2 linked regions of the Pelodiscus sinensis genome follow. The protein of the gene in region 1 interacts with the protein of each later gene in a pairwise test. Links are inferred from orthologs where the notes say so. Each region holds a gene or a part of one and is shown in the gene's direction. Other genes may lie near its edges.

Region 1 (10,318 bases):
CCCAGCCTGGTGACACACGTCTGACTCTGTGCCGATGCTCCCACATCCTGTGCTGTGAACCCCAATATTTACCCCTGAGGTGGAGGGGTCCCAGAGCTACCCACATTGGCCCAAGTACCCCTAGACACACAGGCGCTGAGGATGCTGGACAGGGTTGAATGGGACTGATCGCGAATTCCTCCTTCCTCCCAGAGCTGCCTGTGGTGGCACTGGACCCTGTGCCCCCCATGAGGGCGTAGCTCCTCTCCCCCTCCAGGTCACCCTGCACCCCAGCCCTGTCTGGGCCTGCCAGGGGAAGAGGGGCACAAGGCTGGTCCGCGGAGGCCGGTACGGGACCAGTTTCTAAGCTGCTTTCCCCTCAGAGCCCCCTGTGGTGACGCTGCGCCCTGACCCCCTGATGGTGAGCCCTGGGGCGCCGGCTGAGCTGTCCTGCGAGATCTCGGGCTATTTCCCCTTGGACGTGGCGGTGAGCTGGCTGCGCCGGGGCCCAGGCGAGACGGGGGGCGACCTCCTAGAGTACGTGACTGAGACCTGGGAGTCCGGGCATCGGCGTGGCCCCGACGGCACCTACAGCCTGAGCAGCTTTGCCCGCCTGGCGCCCATCCGGACCAGCGACCATGGAGCCACCTACAGCTGCCACGTGACCCACACTGCCCTGGCCACGCCTGTCCGGAAGAGTGTCCAGCTCCGTGTGGCAGGTGGGGCCGGGGCCAGGGGCCATGGCAGGCAATGGGCGGGCTGAGGAGAGAGCAGGGAGGGGGTGACTCTGGAGGTGGGTGCTGGGGGCTCAGGGGGGATGGAGGGGAGAGCGGGGAGGGGGTGACGCTGGAGGTGGGTGCTGGGGGCTCAGGGGGGATGGAGGGGAGAGCGGGGAGGGGGTGACGCTGGAGGTGGGTGCTGGGGGATCGGGGGGATGGAGGGGAGAGCAGGGAGGGGGTGACGCTGGAGGTGGGTGCTGGGGGATCGGGGGGATGGAGGGTAGAATGGGGAGGGGGTAGCACAGGGCATGGGGGGAGGGCTGCCGTGGGGGGGTGTCTCAGTCTCACACACGCACCTGCCCCAGGTGCCACGGGCCCCTCCCTGGAGGACGCCATCGGGATGTTCCTGGCTGCGTTCCTGCTCTACGGGCTCTTCCGCTTCCTCGGAAACAAGGGTGCGTCTCCCCCCAGTGTCACGCCCCCCCAGGTCCCACCTACGCCCCCCACCTCCTCGAAAACAAGGGTGTCCCCCCCAGCATCACCCTTCCCCCCATGCAAATCCTCTGCTACAAAGGTCAGTGCTTCCCTGGCCTCATTCACCCGCCCCACCTCCTAGCAGCCCCCTGCCATCTTCCACTGCACCCCCAACCAGCCAGCCTCCTCTGCAATATCCCCCCCTCTGACTCCCTGTGCCTGCCTCTCCCCCAGCTACCCCCGGCCTGCCCACTGCATCCCAGTCCGCCCCCTGCACCTCTCTCCACCAGAGCTGCTGTGTCCCAATGTCCCTCAGACCCCCCAGCCTCGCCTGTACCCCCATGGACAGGGCTATAGAGCACCTGCCCCCCGTTCTCACTGCTCCTGCCGGGGGTGGCTCACTCCTGTCTCCCTTCCTTTTTCAGTCTGCCCAGCCGGAGCTGAAGAGAAAACCAAGGTAAATACCCCCCAGCCTGTGCCCCACAGCGCTCCTGCCCCTTGCCCCACAGCGCCCCCCTGCTGGGCGAGGCTGGGCGCTCCTGCCCCACAGCGCCCCCTGCTAGGCGACACTGGGAGCTCCCCCTCCACAGCCAGTGTCTTGCCCCTCAGCACCCCCTGCTGGATGAGGCGGGGAGCTCCCCTCCCCCTATCCCCCACAGCCAGTGTCCTGCCCCACAGCGCCCCCTGCTGGGCGACACTGGGAGCTCCCCCTCCACAGCCAGTGTCCTGCCCCTCAGCACCCCCTGCTGGATGAGGCACGGAGCTCCCTTCCCCCTATCCCCCACAGCCAGTGTCCTGCCCCACAGCACCCCCTGCTGGATGAGGCGGGGAGCTCCCCTCCCCCTATCCCCCACAGCCAGTGTCCTGCCCCACAGCGCCCCCTGCTAGGCGACACTGGGAGCTCCCCCTCCACAGCCAGTGTCCTGCCCCTCAGCACCCCCTGCTGGATGAGGTGGGGAGCTCCCCTCTCCCTATCCCCCACAGCCAGTGTCCTGCCCCACAGCGCCCCCTGCTGGGCGACACTGGGAGCTCCCCCTCCACAGCCAGTGTCCTGCCCCTCAGCACCCCCTGCTGGATGAGGCGCGGAGCTCCCTTCCCCCTATCCCCCACAGCCAGTGTCCTGCCCCACAGCACCCCCTGCTGGATGAGGCGGGGAGCTCCCCTCCCCCTATCCCCCACAGCCAGTGTCCTGCCCCACAGCGCCCCCTGCTAGGCGACACTGGGAGCTCCCCCTCCACAGCCAGTGTCCTGCCCCTCAGCACCCCCTGCTGGGCGACTCTGGGCTCTCTCCCCCAGCCAAGTGCCCTGCCCCACAGCACCCCCTGCTGGGCAAGGCCAGGAGCTCCCCCCACAGTTAGTTCCTGACCCACAGTGTCCCCTGGATTTTGTGGTGTGATTCTTACATGACGCTTCTCCCCACAGAAATCAGAGTGAGACATGCCAAGGGCAGCGGAGATTTTGGGGCCTGATCTGTGACCCCCAAAACAAGACTGTGACCCCAGGACAGGAACCAGTGTTGTGGGGCTCAATGGACAGTGAAGGGCAATTTCCTCTCCCCTATGCCCGCTGTGCCGCCAGGCCCCACCCCCATCCTCCCTCACCATGCAGCCGCCTCCCCTGCTGCTCCCCCTGCCCCTCTTGGCCTGCTTTCCCCATGCCTCCCCTGCTGCCCACCCCCCCCCCCCCCCCGGCACACGGCCTGCTCTGGGAAAGGTGGCGGCTGCTGTTCTGCACTGTGGGGCCTTTGGCCCCAGAAATAAAGCTATTTTCCTGGGACACCCCAACTCCTGCCTGGGCCTCGTCATCTCTCAGCCCCACCCCCCTGGAGCCTTCCTCAGCAGAGAGCTGCACCCCACGCCCCCATCTCCTGCCTCAGCAGGAAATCTCCCCTCCCGGCGCATCCCTGGGCCCTCCTCGCCAGGGCCCCTCAGGTTCAGAGACCCAGTAGCAAGGAGTTCCACAGGCCCTTCCCGACATCTTTTGCTATCTGAGGTTGCTCCCATTCCCCTCTGTGATAGGGGGTCTGGTATGTCCTGGTCTTTACTCCCCCCCTTCCCTGTCTAAGCTCTGCCCGCCCCAGCTGGGCTTGTAAGGGGCAGTGGGGCAGAGGGAGGTGTGACTTCCTGCTGCAGGGAGACAGGAAGGCAGCCCTATTGTTTGGCTTCCTCCCCTCTGGGGCCAGGGAAGAATATAGAGACCAGAGGTCCCAGATCCCAAGTGGAGGAGGGAATATATGGACTGGAGTACTGGGAAACATGGATCTGGATCCCAAGGGGAGGGGAAAGTGTATGGACCAGAGAGCTGGGAAACATGGATCTGGATCCTGAGAGGAGGGGAGAGTGTATGGACCGGAGAGCCAGGGAACACGGATCTGGATCCTGAGAGCAGAGGAGAGTGTATGGACCGGAGAGCTGGGAAACACGGAACTGGATCCTGAGAGGAGGGGAGAGTGTATGGACCGGAGAGCCGGGAAACACGGAACTGGATCCTGAGAGGAGGGGAGAGTGTATGGACCGGAGAGCCGGGAAACACGGAACTGGATCCTGAGAGGAGGGGAGAGTGTATGGACCGGAGAGCCGGGAAACACGGAACTGGATCCTGAGAGGAGGGGAGAGTGTATGGACCGGAGAGCCGGGAAACATGGAACTGGATCCTGAGAGGAGGGGAGAGTGTATGGACCGGAGAGCTGGGAAACACGGAACTGGATCCTGAGAGGAGGGGAGAGTGTATGGACCGGAGAGCTGGGAAACACGGAACTGGATCCTGAGAGGAGGGGAGAGTGTATGGACCGGAGAGCCGGGAAACACGGAACTGGATCCTGAGAGGAGGGGAGAGTGTATGGACCGGAGAGCCGGGAAACATGGAACTGGATCCTGAGAGGAGGGGAGAGTGTATGGACCGGAGAGCTGGGAAACACGGAACTGGATCCTGAGAGGAGGGGAGAGTGTATGGACCGGAGAGGTGGGAAACACGGAACTGGATCCTGAGAGGAGGGGAGAGTGTATGGACCGGAGAGCCGGGGAACATGATTTCAATGAGGGGAGGGAGATAATATACAGACAAGGGAGGTATATGGTGCACTGGAAAACGAGCTGGATCTTGGGGGTGGGAGGAGACTGTATAGACTGGTGAGCTGGGAAATGTGGATCTGGATTTCAAGGGAGGGGGAGTATATATACAGACAGCTCTGGAAACACGGATCTGGGTCTAGGGCGACATACGAAGCTGGATCCCAAGGGGAATGCAAGACTGGAGCACTGGGAGCATGGAGCCGGATCCCAGGAGAGGGGGACACATGCAGGCATGGAACAGAGCAGCATAGCGGGTTGGTCCCCGGTTCTGGGACTCTCTGGCCCCGGCTCTGTCTCCTCCGGTCCGGATTTTGTCACGCTCTGCTCTGGGTTTCATGTCACTTCCTTTCTGGACTAGCTCCACCCCAGAATTTCCATCTCCCTGGTAGGCTCTGGGCCGGGCTGTCTGTCTCTGGTTCAGGTCCCTCCCGTTCAGCTCCGCCTCAGGCTTTGGGACTCCCCACTGGCTCTGCTCTGGGCTTTACTGTCCTCAGCCCCTGGAGCCATTCCCAGGCCGGTAGAACTCCGGGTTTTGTGTCTCCCTGCTGGTTCCTGCTCTGGGATTCCTTCCTGCTGCCCCGTTCCCTCCCGTCCCTCGCCCCAGCCCCAGGATTTCCTTCCTTCTGCCCCCATTCCCTCACCTCTCTTGCTCCAGAGCCAGGATTTCCTTCCTTCTGCCCCCATTCCGTCCCTTCCCTCGCCCCAGCTCCAGGATTTCCTTCCTTCTGCCCCCATTCCCTCACCTCTCTTGCTCCAGAGCCAGGATTTCCTTCCTTCTGCCCCCATTCCCTCCCTTCCCTCGCCCCAGCTCCAGGATTTCCTTCCTGCCCCCATTCCCTCCCTTCCCTCGCCCCAGCTCCAAGATTTCCTTCCTTCTGCCCCCATTCCCTCACCTCTCTTGCTCCAGAGCCAGGATTTCCTTCCTTCTGCCCCCATTCCGTCCCTTCCCTCGCCCCAGCCCCAGGATTTCCTTCCTTCTGCCCCCATTCCCTCCCTTCCCTCATCCCAGCTCCAGGATTTCCTTCCTTCTGCTCCCATTCCCTCACCTCTCTTGCTCCAGAGCCAGGATTTCCTTCCTTCTGCCCCCATTCCCTCCCTTCCCTCGCCCCAGCTCCAGGATTTCCTTCCTTCTGCCCCCATTCCCTCACCTCTCTTGCTCCAGAGCCAGGATTTCCTTCCTTCTGCCCCCATTCCGTCCCTTCCCTCGCCCCAGCCCCAGGATTTCCTTCCTTCTGCCCCCATTCCCTCCCTTCCCTCGCCCCAGCTCCAAGATTTCCTTCCTTCTGCCCCCATTCCCTCACCTCTCTTGCTCCAGAGCCAGGATTTCCTTCCTTCTGCCCCCATTCCGTCCCTTCCCTCGCCCCAGCCCCAGGATTTCCTTCCTTCTGCCCCCATTCCCTCCCTTCCCTCATCCCAGCTCCAGGATTTCCTTCCTTCTGCTCCCATTCCCTCACCTCTCTTGCTCCAGAGCCAGGATTTCCTTCCTTCTGCCCCCATTCCCTCCCTTCCCTCGCCCCAGCTCCAGGATTTCCTTCCTTCTGCCCCCATTCCCTCCCTTCCCTCGTCCCAGCTCCAGGATTTCCTTCCTTCTGCCCCCATTCCCTCCCTTCCCTCGTCCCAGCTCCAGGATTTCCTTCCTTCTGCCCCCATTCCCTCCCTTCCCTCGTCCCCAGCTCCAGGATTTCCTTCCTTCTGCCCCCATTCCCTCCCTTCCCTCGTCCCAGCTCCAGGATTTCCTTCCTTCTGCCCCCATTCCCTCACCTCTCTTGCTCCAGAGCCAGGATTTCCTTCCTTCTGCCCCCATTCCCTCCCTTCCCTCGTCCCAGCTCCAGGATTTCCTTCCTTCTGCCCCCATTCCCTCCCTTCCCTCGCCCCAGCTCCAGGATTTCCTTCCTCCTGGCCCCATTTCCGTCTCTCTCTAGCTCCGGGTTTTCCTGCCAGCCCTCATCCCCTCCTCTCCATGGCTCCAGCTCCGGGCTTTCCTGCCTGCATGGCCCGGGGCTCTGTTCCTAGGCTGGGTTCAGCTCCGAGGCTTCCGCCCCGCCCTCCCAGCCTTGCCCCGGGTTAAGCAGCAGGGAGCCGGGTGCCCAGGTGGGTGTGCACGGGGGCAGCGGCGAGCGGGGTGCAAGGGAGGATGCGGGGGCGGGGTGCAGGGGGTATGTGGGGGGGAGGAAGTGGGGAGCAGGGGGTGAGTGGGGGGGAGGAAGTGGGGAGCAGGAGGTGGGGGGAGGAAGTGGGGAGCAGAGGGTGTGTGGGGGGGAGGAAGTGGGGAGCAGGGGGTGTTTGTGGGGGGGAGGAAGTGGGGAGCAGGGGGAGAGGTGAAGTGGGAGGAAGTGGGCACCAGAGGGTGCCGGGGGGGGGGAGGAGGTGGAGAGTGGAATAAGGGGTACAAGGAATGTGCTGGGGAGCAGGGGGTACAGGGAGGGGTAGGGGTGCAGTGTGAAATATGGGGGTGCAAGGAGGGGGAGGGGTATAGGGAGTGTGTTGGGGCGGGGAGGCAGAGTGTAATATGGGGATGCAGGGAGGGGGTGCAGAGTAATATTAGGATGCAGGGAGGGGGAGGGGTATAGGGAGTGTGGGGGTGCAGACTGTAATATGGGGGTGCAGGGAGGGGACAGTGGCTGTGGAGGGTGAAGTGGGAGGAAGTGGGGAGCAGAGGGGTGCAGGAGGGAGGGGGGACCAGGGCACCCCAGATAATTCCTAGAACTGCCCTCCCTCCCTCCCTCCCTCTCTCTCAGTCCCGGACCTCGCCTGACACCCTTCCCATGACTCCTCTGTGGGCCTGAGACGCCCCCCATGCTGCCCCGCTCCCTGCGGCACCTGCTGGAGGGGGCCCGGCTGGAGCTGGAGGGGGACCAGGGGGTCACTCTGAGCGCCTTCCGGAGCTGGTCCCCTGACCCCCCACAGCCGCAGGTGAGATGGGGCTGAGGGGAGGGGTGTGCTGGGGGTGGTCCGGGGGTGGTTAGCTGAGGCACTGTGGCAGCAGTCAGGGTGTGTGGGACAGGGGGAAGGGGGGGTGAGGGTCTGTGTGGTGTGGGTCACGCAGGTGTGGGGGGGTCACACCTGTGTGGGTTTGTGAGTGCTGGGAGGCGCATGTTGGGTTGTCACAGCCTTGGCGTGGAGAGTCCCGGGGAGCTGGGCGCTGGGGCAGCCTCTGGGAAATTCCTGCGCCACCCAGCTGATTAGCCCACAGCTGGGTTTGTGTTTCTACTGGTGGTGCACAGTCACATGTGCCTTGGTGCGCATAACAAAATTATTCCACATGTGGATGGGACACATTACCAGGAACTTGACTGTGTGTGTGTAAGATCAGACCTGTGTTGTAGGTCACACCCTTGCTGCGTGTGACACGCGGGGGTGTGTGGTGGTGTCAGACGGGGGGGCCTTGCTGGGCTGCGTGGTGGGAAGAGTGTGCTGCGGGGTCACACCTTGGCGAGCAGCGGGTTGTCCTGCAGGACCTGTCGCTGGTTGTCACGGTGTGGCTGATTCAGCGTGTGGTTGTGTTGGTTTGGCTAATAGTCGTGCAGCTCGCCAGGGTGCAGGGTGCTCTGGGGGTGTCAGTGTTGGGGGCTATTTGTGATAAGCGGGGGCGGCCAGTGGGGCACTTTCACTTCCTGTCCCACAGCCCCCTTGGTCCCCATCCCGCTCAGAGGAGGCTGCCCAGGGGACGCAATCCGCCCTGCGCTGGGGGATGGGGTGGGGCAGGTTTGGGGAAGTGCCTGGGGGGCAGGGCGGGAGTGGGAGGGGCTGGAGCAGACACAGAAGGCGGAAGCAGCAAGGGAGACTGAAAGAGAGAAACTGAGACAGACAGAGTCCGGGAGGGGGGAGTGTGGGGGGCAGGGCCAGACAGACAGAACCGGGGGGGGGGGGGGGGGGCAGGGCCTCACAGACAGACAGAAGGGGCGGAGCTGGGCCAGACAGACAGGGGGAAGGGGGGGAAGGGGGGCAGCAGGGCCAGACAGGGAGAAGGGGGGGAAGGGGGGCAGCAGGGCCAGACAGGCAGGCTGGGGGGTGTTGGTGGGGGGGGAGGCTGTCTGTCTGTCTGTCTGCATGCCCTGGCCCTTGTGTGTGAGAGGCTCACTGGGTCACGCTGCCCCCTAACCCTGTCCCTCCTGTCTGTGCCCCCCCACACCCCCGAGCCGCCCTGCCAGGCCCCACAGGCCTGTCCCAGAGGGCTGTGGAGATTGGGGGGTCTTGGCTGGGAGCCCCTCCCCCACGCGGCGCCCCAATGAGCAGGACCCAGTGACCCCCGCGGGGGGGCCATGAGGGCGTGCCTGGGGCTGGAGGCTCCGGGGGGCGAGGGGCCGTCCCGCACGCGCTGGTACTGCCTGCCTGTCAGGGTGAGTGGGGGCAGGCGTTTCCGGGGGACGATCGGCTGCGGTGGGGGGGCAGCGATACCGGGGTAACCCCCCTCTCTGCTCCAGCCCCCGGTGACCCTGACGGAGGAGGCTGAGGAGGGGGTGACTTACACGGTGACCGTGCGCCAGCCAGGGGTGAGTGGGGGGCTTGGCTTGGCTCTGGGGGGATGTCCCAGGCTGGCTCTGGTGCTCTCTCCCATAGCTCTGGGGGGAGCCAGGCTGGGACAAGGCGGGGGGCAGGCTGGCTGACTCTGTGCTGGCCCTGGGGTGGGGTGCGGCCAGGCCAGGCTGTGGAGGATTAGGGGGGTGGGCTGGATTGCTGGGGGCCAGGCTGGGTGACTGGGGGGCTGTGGGGCCGGGCCAGGCACTGAGAGGTCTGCAGGGGCCAGGTTAATGGATATTCCCTGCAGGCCCCAGGGGGGGCGCGGTGCCCGTGCTGGTGGCTCAAGACCCGGTTGCTGGGGGGGTCCAGGCTGACAGACTCCCCGCAGGCTCCTGGGGGGGACGCCCTGTGCCGGGTGCTCAAGACCGGGTGCTGGGGGGCAGGTTGCTGGGTGTTGGGGGAAGTCGCTGGGTTCTGGGGGGGTCCGGGCTGACAGACTCTCCCTGCAGGCCCCTGGGGGGGGGGACGCCCCGTGTCAGGGGCTCACGGCCCGGTCGCTGGGGGGGTCCGGGCTGACAGACTCTCCCTGCAGGCCCCTGGGGGGGACGCCCCGTGTCGGGCGCTCAAGGCCCGGTTGCTGGGGGGGCAGGTCGCTGGGTGGGTCCGGGCTGACAGACTCTCCCTGCAGGCCCCTGGGGGGGGACGCCCCGTGTCAGGGGCTCACAGCCCGGTCGCTGGGGGGGCAGGTCGCTGGGTGGGTCCGGGCTGACAGACTCTCCCTGTAGGCCCCTGGGGGGGGCGCCCCGTGTCGGGCGCTCAAGGCCCGGTTGCTGGGTGGGTCCGGGCTGACAGACTCTCCCTGCAGGCCCCTGGGGGGGGGCGCCCCGTGTCAGGCGCTCAAGGCCCAGTCGCTGGGGGGGCAGGTCGCTGGGGGGGCAGGTCGCTGGGGGGGGTCCGGGCTGACAGACTCTCCCTGCAGGCCCCTGGGGGGGACGCCCCGTGTCGGGGGCTCACGGCCCGGTCGCTGGGGGGGCAGGTCTCTGGGTGGGTCTGGGCTGACAGACTCTCCCTGCAGGCCCCTGGGGGGGGCACCCCGTGTCGGGCGCTCACGGCCCAGTCGCTGGGGGGGGCAGGTCGCTGGGGGGGGGCCAGGTCGCTGGGGGGGTCCAGGCTGACAGACTCTCCCTGCAGGCCCCTGGGGGGGACGCTCCGTGTTGGGCGCTCACGGCCCGGTTGCTGGGTGGGTCCGGGCTGACAGACTCTCCCTGCAGGCCCCTGGGGGGGGCGCCCCGTGTCGGGCGCTCAAGGCCCGGTTGCTGGGTGGGTCCGGGCTGACAGACTCTCCCTGCAGGCCCCTGGGGGGGGCGCCCCGTGTCAGGCGCTCAAGGCCCAGTCGCTGGGGGGGCAGGTCGCTGGGGGGGCAGGTCGCTGGGGGGGTCCGGGCTGACAGACTCTCCCTGCAGGCCCCTGGGGGGGACGCTCCGTGTTGGGCGCTCACGGCCCGGTTGCTGGGTGGGTCCGGGCTGACAGACTCTCCCTGCAGGCCCCTGGGGGGGGCGCCCCGTGTCGGGCGCTCAAGGCCCGGTTGCTGGGTGGGTCCGGGCTGACAGACTC
Region 2 (10,756 bases), on another chromosome or scaffold:
TTTGGAGAGGGGGTTTCCTGGAATCTGTGCTCAAAATTACATTCTCCTCAGACCTGAAGAAGTTCAGTGTCAGTATTGCTCTTTTGTTGGGGGAGGGGAGGGGAAGGGGAAGGGGAGGTGATCTCAGCTCTGTGTTTTGGCTGGAGGAGACCAGGAGATCTGGCCCAGCAGGACAGGGTAATGAGGAGCCCCAAAGAGCAAGGAGAGTGTCAGTGGCTTTGTCAGCATCCCCAAAGGGGTCTTCTGTAACCACACCCCGTCACAAATATATCTAGTGGATCTCCTTTGTCCAAATGCTTGTTGACACTCCCCACCCCTGAGAATTCTAGTAGGTTAGTGAGGCATGATTTTTCCCTTTACAGAAACTAATGTTGACTTTCCCCAATAAAATATGTTAATCTCTGTGTCTGACAATTCCTTTTGAAATGTACAAGAGCCCTGTTGGACTCTTGCTATAATTCAAAGGCGGAGGTGCCCTTATAGACCAATCATTAACCCACTGGGGCTCTTGTACATTTCAAAAGCAGAATCGCAGCAGAAGCAGCGCAAGTGGAGACTGCTTCAGTATCCGCTCATGCCATTTCCCACTGTCTCTCTGTAGGGATAACATATTAATGTATTAAAAATGTGATTCCCCCAAATGGAAGTGACTCCCCATAATTTGTTCTCCACAACTTAAAGTGTTTAGATTTATTAGGATTCTTCTTATTATTATTATTAGTTGTTAAGATTGTTAAATGTTTAGATTTATGATTATTATTGCCCCTTTAGAATATAATGTATTAGGTAATGTAACTTAGAACTGTTAAAAATATAATCCTATGTAACCAGAAACAGCCCCCCCCCCCCCCCCCTCTGTGCTCCAGGGCATGCTCAAGTTTGTGCAAGGGGCTGCTTGAAATTGACATTGCAAAGATACATTGTAACAATGCATTGTCAAACCACTAACTCTGCTATGGGAGCCAAGCCCTGTAATTGACTAAGGGCATTGTTACTTAATTGACGCCTGTTCTCTTTAAAACATTGTAACTTTACTCAGCACTCAGAGAATGTTTTAAGCAATACCACCCAGAAACTTTTTGTAACTACAACTCTGATATATGTAAAGTTATTATTACCAGAAACTTTTTGTAACTACAACTCTGATATATGTAAAGTTATTATTATACAAAAACATTGTATGGGAAACATTAAGGAATGTATGTAAGAGAGAGAGTGCTTGGATGATGAGTGAATGGTTCTAAGAGGTGCCAGCCTGAGAATACAGCAACAAAGGGCTGAAGAAGGCGTCAGGTGCCAGTGCAACCAAAAGGTGTCAAGTGGAGAAACTGGAGGTCCACCCGATGAGCTCACTGATGAGCACCTGGCAGCCACCCTGGAGACATCAGCATGATACAGCAATTTCCATAGACTGGCATAGGAAGAAATTCCTATAAGAACTGGACTAAAAAACTATGGAATCAGAGTCCAAGGTTCTGCTGCCAGCCTACCAGGAGCTTCAGATGCACATCTGATCAGGACTTCGCTCCCCACTACCATCACTTGTGTACAGAGTACCTGGCCAGTATCCTGTCACAAGCAACTTCCAGGCTGGTAACTATACACAGAACTTGAATGAATGGATGTATGAATGAATGGTTATATATATATATATATATATATATATATATATATATATATATATATATATATATATATATATATACACACAAGTGTATAAGGGTTAAGTAGTGATAGGAATAAGTAGTTAAACAACGTTGTTTGCTTCTATCTTTTCTTTATTTTTATTATCTTTACAATAAATGTGGCTTTTTGCCTTATCCCCCTCATAAGATCCTGCTTGCTTTTATTTGGTACAACATCTCTACCTCCCCAACCCTCCCAGAGATGATGCTGGGGGGAGCCAGCTTTTAAGCCAGCTCCCACCAGCACCAGCTCCTGATCTTTCTCTCATACTCACCCCCCCCCCCCATTGCCTCTGATAGAGACAGCAAGGGGGGGAAGTAACTAGTCACATCTCTAGTCGACTCGTTGCTTACATCCCTACTTGTGATATCAATTTTCAAAAAAGGATCTTATTAGCTATCTTCCAGTCATTTGGTACAGAAGCACATTTAAATGTTAGGTTACAAATCACAGTTAGTAGTTCCACATTTCTCATTTGAGTCTTTAGATCTGTTGAGTGAATGCTATCTGGTCCTGGTGACTTGTTACTGGGTAGTTTATCAACTTGTTCTCAAATCTCCTCTAATGACACCTCAATCTGGGACAATTCCTCAGATTTGTCATTTAAAAGAATTTGGGAATCTCCCTAACATCCTTAGCCGTGAAGACCAATGCAAAGAATTCATTTAGGGCATGTCTAGACTATGTTTTGATTTCGAAAGAGGATATGCAAATTCCTTCTGATGACATTTTCGAAACAGGATCTTTCGAAAGTGAAAGTAGTCTGGACGTGTTTTTTTCGGGGAAAAAACCTTTTTCAAAAACTGTGTAAACATCCTTTTTTTAGGAAGAGCGTTTTTTTTCCAAAAAGGTTTTTTTTTTCAAAAAAACACCCCGTATCCAGACTACCTTCACTTTTGAAAGATCCTCTTTCAAAAATGCGATCAGAAAAGGAATTTGTACATCCTCTTTCGAAAAATCTTTGTAGTTTAGACGTAGCCTTAGTTTCTCACAATGACATTATCTTTGAGTGCTCCTTTAGCATCTCGATCATCTAGTGGTCCCACTGGAAGTTTAGAAGTCTTCCTGCTTCTGATGTACTTTTAAAAAGTTGTTATTTTTTAGCTAGTTTTATCAAAGTACTGTACAGGTTTTAGCTGTAAAACATCAAGACATTTGTCTAGACTTTGGAAGAGATTTTATGATGTTTTGGATTTTATTTTAGTGCAATGCTCTGAAGAAAAATATTTTAAGGTAAAAGTAAGAATTTCTGTGTCACTTGCTTGGTGCCTTAAATCCAGAGGGAACATCTAATACTGAGATTTGTATGCTCTTTTGGTGCACTTTTACCACCTCTGCTCCAATGCTCTGATAGTATTTACTATAAATTTATCATGAGTTTTATGGACTTCAAATAATTTTCCACTAGCATGCAATTTGGGGAAATATATCCTTTTTTTCCTCTTGTCTATCTCTGTACTGCAAACAGAAAGCCGGTACTTCCTCCACACCCACTCCCTTTGCCAACAACCTCAATGCAACTTCCTGTCAGTTTCATGTATTCTGTGGTGAACTTCCTCTGAGCAAGAGCTTTATCTGTACACAGGTTAACCATTTGCTTACAAAGTATTTATCATATACATAAGTAATTTATTTGTAATACTTAAGTCTTTAAAAATATTTTATTCAAATGAGAGAGAACACTTGTGACTTTAAGAAAAAAGGCATTTTGATATTTGACAATTTTACACTAATAAATTGGAGGAGAAGGATCAAGAAAGGTCATAGGTCCTTCAACTTCAATAGGTCTCCTGCCCTGTGGCAATAGAAGCTAATGATAAATTGTAAGTGTTGGAAGGCTTAATAAGGTATGTCCAGAATAATATTTTGTATTTATATGACACCAATTATCCAAGGATCTCAGAGCACAAATGTGGGTAAGAATTGGGGATATATGCATTTGTGTTAATGTTAATGTTACATTTTCCCCACAGATTTTTAAAAATAATTTAAAGTTATTTTCTTCATAGGTTGAGACCAGGATTTAAACCAATCTCATGGTTTTAACTAATCTATAACTATTAAAATTAGGCTAAAACCTTGGTGGGGAAACAGATTCCTCCTTATATGTCTATAACCCCTTATATGGGATTTCTTACATTTCTTTTTGAAGAATCTGATGCTTGCCTAGGTTGGAGACACATAGGAAACAAAACTATACAGACCATAATGCTGATCCAGTAGATAGGGCAATTCCTACATTGCTAGACAAAATTCTCCTAGAACTAGCCTTCTATTTCAGTTCCTGACTGATGGCAATACCACAGGAAGACTTCATTTTGTTCCCCAAACTCTGAGGCAGTCTATGACAAGGATACAGATACCAATATGAGATAGTGGGTGAACAACTGACTTGGGGACGAAGTCCCAGCCTGCCCCTGACCACTCTATGCCCACCTGGCGACAGGTCTCTGCCCTGCACCCCAGCCCCACTAGCATGGCTGCTGGCCCCTGCCTAAGGCTAGTGCCTCCCCTCCTCCCCCAGTGCCGGGCAGCTGCACAGCCCCAGTTCTCACACAGCCTCAGACTCTGGAGCAGCCAGATAGCTTTGGTGCTACACTGATCCATAGGGCAGCTGTGTGGCTCAGGCTCCAGCCCCAGGAGCAGTTGGGCAGCCATGCCCCAGCCTTCCTGGCCTGCCAGGAAGCCATATGGCCTCAGCTTTCCCAGCTGGGCATGGATGACAAGTGAATGACTGCTTTAAAGAGGCATGCCCACCTGCTCCCTAAGACCCTGTCCCCATATGCTAGAGCCCTAAAGCCTCTCCCCCTGCCTGTAAAAAGAAAAGCCTTAAGGAGGAGCCTGAAGACCAAAGGATCCTTGGCCTGACCCCAGCCACAATGGGCCAAGCTGCTGCTGCTACTACCCTCCCTCCTAGCCCACCAGACTGAACCTCTGTTCCCCTGCGCACCGGGCTGCACCCAGTGCCTGTTTGCATCCCCTCTCCCTGAGTGCCAGATTGTTCTTAGCATTGGGCCAAGCTGCCAGCAGCCTTTCCAAGTGCCAGCTCCCCCTGCCCTAAAGGTGGACTGTGTGCTAGTTGTCCTGCAGTGGGTTGGTGACAGCACCAGGCAAAGGCATTGCCTTCCTTGGCCTATTACAGCAGCTGTACATGAGCATGGGTGGGACCACCTTGGTCTTTGTGGGAAGGCAATGCCTGCCCTTGCCTACATAAGTTGCCAATGGATGCCATTCATGAGTCATTTGCAATTATGCAAATCCTACTCCCGAATGGGGCAGGCAAGAGGGTAGTACGGTAAGGCCTGAGCCCTCAGAGCATGCTGGCAGTTGCGGCTAACGGAGCAAGTCAGTGAGAACCATTTGGTGTGACATGGTGCATGGGGGGTAAAAATGACTCCATATAAACAAACAAGGTGGGTGAAGAAAGAGCTTTTAGGGGGCCAACGTCTACAGATACTGCAAATGTGGGTCACAAGCAGGTACAAACTAGGGATGTTAAATATCACTTAACTGAATAGTCGACTAACCTTATGAATTCTTATTGGTTAGTTGACTATTCTATAGCCCCCGGGGGTGGGGTCCAGCAGCCAGTGCACCTCACTCCTAAAGAGCCCTCTGCTACTCCGTGCTGCTGCCTCTATATCACAGGCATCAGTGCAGAGTATCAGGCAGGTGTTGGTCTGTGAGGGGAGCCAGTTTAAAAAACAGTTCCTGCTCCTGTCACCCTGTGCTGTTGCTTCTGCTAAAAAGATAGCAGCATAGGGTGGCAGCAGCTCTTGTCTGGGTGGAAGTCTGAGCTCCTGGACCCGTGCAAGTTGGAACTGAGCTGGGCTGTTTGCCGGCCCAGCCCCAATGCACTTTAAATGCAGAGCCACAGCACGGGTAGGTGCCAGACTTGTGGCAAGCTAGGACTGAGCCAGGCTGCTGGCTAGCCTGCTTAAAAATGTACTGAGTAGGGGGAGGGAGCGCGGAGAAATGCAAGTAACTCATCGCATTAACCTCTAAGTTTTTGCTTACAGGTTAATCAGCTACACTATTGCATGCCTAGTACAAAGCACAGGGAGTGAGGCAGTGCAAGAACATCCTCCCCCCTGCGCCTCTTTGCCCTGTTTGCCCGCAACCCTCCATCAGTTCGGCCCCACCCCGGGACCCTGGCAGGGAGACGTGCCTGCCCCTCCCCCCGCCACTACCCGATGCGGGCGGGGAGCGGAAATCGGCCGGAATGGGCGCGAGAGGGGAGAGGTTCTGCGTGAAGCGAGGGCGGGACCGTGCGCAGCGAGGCTGGGGCTCGCGCGTGCGCAGTTTGGAAGCAGGGCGGCGAAGTTACCTCCTCTCCCCCCCACCCCCGCCGCCGCCGGAACGGGGTAGGGGAACCAGAGCGAGGCTCGGCGTGCGGCGTCACGACGACGGCTCCAAGCCTCGCCCAGGCAGCGGCAGCGCGAGAGGGAGCGGGCGTGCGGAGCAGGCTCGGCCGGGCAGGAGGCGACTGGGGGGAGCGGCGGCGGCGGCGGCGCTGTCCGGTAGGCGGAGGTGGCGGGGGAGAGGGCGGCCGGGCCTAGCAGGGGGCCGCTCCAGCCCCGGGCGGGCGGTGGCTGCGGCAGCGGCGTGTGTCTGGCGCAGGTGGCCCCGCGGCAGTGGGAGCGGGGCGGGTGGAGGGGCCGGGGCGGCGGCCCCGCCGGCGGGAAGAGCGCGCGGTGCGGACAGGGGGCCGGTGCCTGAACATGGCGGAGCAGGAACCGAGAGCGGCCGCCGCCTCCTGCGCCCGGCAGCGGGGACACCCGGGCGGCCGGAGTCTGGGGCTTGGCTGCTGCTCGCTCCCCCGCCCCTCGCGCTGGGGGTGCCCGGCGCCCGCCCGCCCGCTCGCCCCGAAGTTGGAGCGGAAGCGGAAAGTTGTAACCCTGCAGCTCTGAGCTGCTCGCCTGGGCCGGCCGGGGTGGGGGTCAGGGGCGGCGGGCGGGCGAGCTGTGAAGAAAAGTTCTCGCTCCCGCGGTGGCAGCTCGCTGTGGGAAGTTGAGTTCAGCCCCACCTAGTCCGGCCGTATCAGCCGCTGCTGCTCACAGTTTCCATCATCCTCCCTCGGCGTGGGAGAGTGTCCACCAGCCTGGCACCATAGGCCTCGTCACTTGTATTGGACTGAGGCGATCCTCCGGCCATGGTGTCGGCCCCCAAAGTCTGGGCATCACGGGTAACGCATTGAGACTGTGCTGGATCTTACCTTGTTACAGGTTCTCTCTTCATGCCAGGAGCTCTTTTTGCTTTAAAACTTGTGGTTTTCTGTGTTTTATATAGTGCCTCAACTGTACTTTGGTCGTGGGGCTAAGAAGGCACGGAACCTGCCCAGAAAGAGCTTGCAATGTAAATAGACAACACTGCAGTCATTTTAATGTTTATGAATCTTCTGGTCCTTGTCCCCACCAGACCTTAAGAAAAGGTCTTAAGTCTGGAAAAAAGGTCTTAAGCCTGTAAGGGGCAATCATGATTATCTAGTTTGAATTTCTACACAATACTGGCTTAAAAACCACACTCAATAACTTCTGCATCAACCCCACAATATTTTAGAAAGATTGCCATGCCACCAGCATGTTGTCAAAATGTTGTCAAAATTTATGCTGCAGAAGAATATAATTAGGCTTTGCTAGGGTTGCCAGGTGTCCAGTTTTAAACCGCACAATCCAGTATTTGTGCTTTCTGTTTGGGAAACAAATTTAGAAAATATAAATGTTTTCTAAATAAGATGTAATGTAATGTCAAGTGTGTCCGGTATTTTTGTTGAAACCATCTAGGCTTCTCAGGAAGTGATGATTATACTGTATTCCAAATTGACAAAGTGGACTATGCAACATTTACTGAAATGTTGATGTTCTTTGACTTTTTTAAATGAATGGCTAATAAATGCTATTTAGAAAATATGACTCTTCATTTTGAAAAGAGTTTCTATATTGTGGTATAAGTGTGTAACTTTATGTGGCTTCAAAAAAGACGATTTAGACAACATCATAAACCAAGCGTTTTAGTGGATTTTGGACACACATCTGGAAGTTTTGATGACACATTGAATTAAATCTAGCAACCAGTTCTTGTATATGTGGGGCCACATAATAGGTGTGTGTTAAAATAGTCAGACAAAGCTAATGGAATTGATGTTTTCCAAGGCTCTTTCATAGCATGTACACAAATTCCAAGGTTTTTTTTTTGAGTAAACACTTCTGAGTTTCAGCTATGCTTTTTGACCAGAGGTGGGCAAGATGTGGGCTGAATCCAACTTGTGGGCTTCGCACTGGGATCCTGGGGCGCAAAGCAGCTCCACACCACTTTAAGCCCCTATTGCTTGGTCAGTAGGAGCTAAGAAATTGTGGTGGGGGTAGTGGCAACGTGCAAAGCCACTTCATCCTCCTCTCCTCGCTCTGCCTGAAGCAGAGCGTCATGGGGAGTGTCCAGCCATTTTGAGCAGCATAGGGCTGCAGCAGATAGGGTGCCTGCCTTGGGGTCCTGCAGGGCTGCTGGCAGGGAGCCCTCTAGGTAAGCAGCTACCTGCTGGAGCCTGCTTCTGCCATTCTACTCCCTCCTATACCCCAACTTCCTGTCCCAGGTCACCACCCATACCCTCTGCACCCCCCTCCTCCAGGTCAACTCCCTCCCAGACTCTGTACTCCAAGCCAGAATCCTCTTCTGCACCCATTCTCTCTCCCTGACCCAACACACCATTCATCTGCCCCTGATTGCAATCTCCTCCTTCACTCAAACTTCCTCTCAGACCCCACACTTTCCTGCATCCCAGTCCCCTACCCCTAGCTCTCTTCTGTATCCAACCTCTCAGACTCTGCACCACATCCATAGAAAAGTGCAGTCCTTGGCCACTTACCAGATCTTGGAGTGGGCCCTCCATGAACAATTATTGCTCACTCCTGTTCCTGACTGCCCTACTTATTTTTACCAACTTATGTCGTGTACTGCACAATAACTAGTCAAATGAGACAGTTATATTTCTTAATACAAGGTCACACATTGACACTGGAATGGACTTTTCTATCTTTGGTAAACTTAAAACATCTTAATGCCCAGTTTAAAAGTTTTTGACTTATACATTTTAGATGGAAACCTAAGTAAAGTGCTGAATTCAGTGCTTCTAAATGTTTTTCACTTATTTTGCTCAGGATTCTAGTTTTTTTTTCTCTGTCAATTGCCAGTAGCCTACAACGGGCAGCCTGCAGGCTAGATCTGTCCTGCTGTAGTCCAGCGGGACCCTCAGACAGGCTCCCTTCCTGTTATAGACCCACATGTTGCTCAAAGCAACTTTGAGGAGCACCCTTTGTGTGGAGGAGGTGCTCCAACGCCTTGCCCACACACGCCATCCTAATAGTCTCCCATTGACTACCAGTTTTCATGGTTTTATGTTTCTATATTGTTCACATATTAGTTGACTCCATTGTTATAAAAAAAGACCCAACAAAAGGGTAAAGTGACTATACAGAGGGTATGATGAAATTGATTATCACAGAGTGCTATAAAATGTTCAGAAGGTAAACAAAACTCTTCTTTTAGGCGTGGTAATCTTGTTAGTGTTAATCTGAGTGGGTACTGACAACAGTAGTGTCCCAGTTACAGGCATCTTGGGAGTGGAGGTGACTTGTAACTCTGAAATGCTCACAACTCTGAACAAAACATCTTGACTGTTTTTTTCAAAAGTTTACAGCTTAACATTGATGTGATAGTCTTTGTAACTATTATGTAGAAGAAATTGCTGATTTTAATCATAATTTGAACAAAAACAAGCACATAAATGGTTTCCTTACTTTGTCAAATCCTTTATATGTACCAGTAATGTATAGTGTGTTTTTTTTTTTGTCTGCTGCTTGATTGTGTTCTTTTGGTTCCAAATGGAGGTGTGTGGTTGACCAGTCTGTTTTGTAACTCAGGTATATTTAACTCTGAGGTTCTACTGTACTATTGCCATGTGGGATGTATACATACTACCTTATTTTAAACCCCCATTATTAGGACAATTCAAGACCTGGAGTAAAATTTAGCCAGTATGAGCCAATTTCTGTTTTGTGCTGTTGGAGAAAATGTTGGTATCAAGTAAAGTGGACTACTGTTTCAGTTTTGTTTGAGATTTGCTGGAATAGCAGCACAGGTATTAATCTAGGAGCGAATAAGCCCACAAAAAGGAAAATAAAAAATCTTGAGAGGTTTGAAAGAGAAGAAAGTTAAACTTCAGTACTCTAATAGTCTAACAGCTAGTTCTGTAATCAGAATCAACTAAAACAACTAACTCAACAATCTCTCCCCCCCGCCCCCATTCTTCCTTGTAGACAAAAATGGCATTCTCTCCCCCCCGCCCCCATTCTTCCTTGTAGACAAAAATGGCATTAAAGCACAATTCAGAATAGTGGTGCCCAATTTTATTACATGTGGGGGGCTAGAGATGTAATAGTGTCAGTTAACCCCTGATAAGCAAAAGTTTATAGGTTAATGCTATAGATTACATGCATTTCCCCCTCTCCTCCCGCCAACAAATTTTTTAGCAGGCTGGCCAGCTGCCCAGCTCAGTTGTGGCTTGTGACGTAAGGGGAGTTGTTTTTTAAACAGGCTCCCCTCATGGACCCGCTCTCGCCTGGCACCCTGTGCTGCTGCCTCTGATATAGAGGCAGCAGCACAGAATGGCAGGGGGCTTCTTGGGAGTAAGGCCGGAGCGCACTGGTTGCCATCCCTGCCCCAGGGACTATTGAATAGTTGACTAACCAATAAGAATTTGAGGTTACTTGACTAATCAATGAACCAATATTTAACATCCCTAAAAGGAGCCACATAAGCCCTGCCTTGGGTAGACCAGTGTTTTTCAAACTGCTTAGGCTCTGCGAGGTTGACAAACTGAAAACATGGATAGGTACAATGCATACAATCAGTGGACTGCTGGGGCTCCGCATAAATTTTTACGCATGTAAAGGGCTCCGGCGCTCAAAGTTGAGAACCGCTGGTCTAGAAACATTTTACATCTTTGAATAAGATTTAAGGTCACCTGTGGATTTTTTTTTTTTAATTGCAAGTTACACTTGTTTTCATATGTATT

What was found.
Region 2: the proteins of RGL2 (region 1) and RAP1B interact in a two-hybrid assay, tested with the Homo sapiens proteins (2 studies listed by BioGRID and IntAct). The link is inferred for Pelodiscus sinensis from reciprocal best matches to the Homo sapiens genes RGL2 and RAP1B.

What each region holds. Positions count from the first base shown.
Region 1 is NW_027465970.1:39,772-50,089, forward strand, and holds the start of RGL2 (ral guanine nucleotide dissociation stimulator-like 2), read left to right. Parts: upstream 1-6,196; 5' UTR 6,197-6,334; intron 6,335-6,981; 5' UTR 6,982-7,039; coding exon 7,040-7,156; intron 7,157-8,245; exon of another isoform or gene 8,246-8,505; coding exon of another isoform or gene 8,506-8,583; intron 8,584-8,667; coding exon 8,668-8,736; intron 8,737-10,318. Other genes in the region: TAPBP (tapasin), read left to right, coding at 363-698, 1,064-1,153, 1,598-1,629, 2,595-2,606. UniProt on the Homo sapiens protein: Probable guanine nucleotide exchange factor. Putative effector of Ras and/or Rap. Associates with the GTP-bound form of Rap 1A and H-Ras in vitro.
Region 2 is NC_134711.1:63,350,701-63,361,456, forward strand, and holds the start of RAP1B (ras-related protein Rap-1b), read left to right. Parts: upstream 1-6,029; 5' UTR 6,030-6,206; intron 6,207-6,975; exon of another isoform or gene 6,976-7,041; intron 7,042-10,756. UniProt on the Homo sapiens protein: GTP-binding protein that possesses intrinsic GTPase activity. Contributes to the polarizing activity of KRIT1 and CDH5 in the establishment and maintenance of correct endothelial cell polarity and vascular lumen.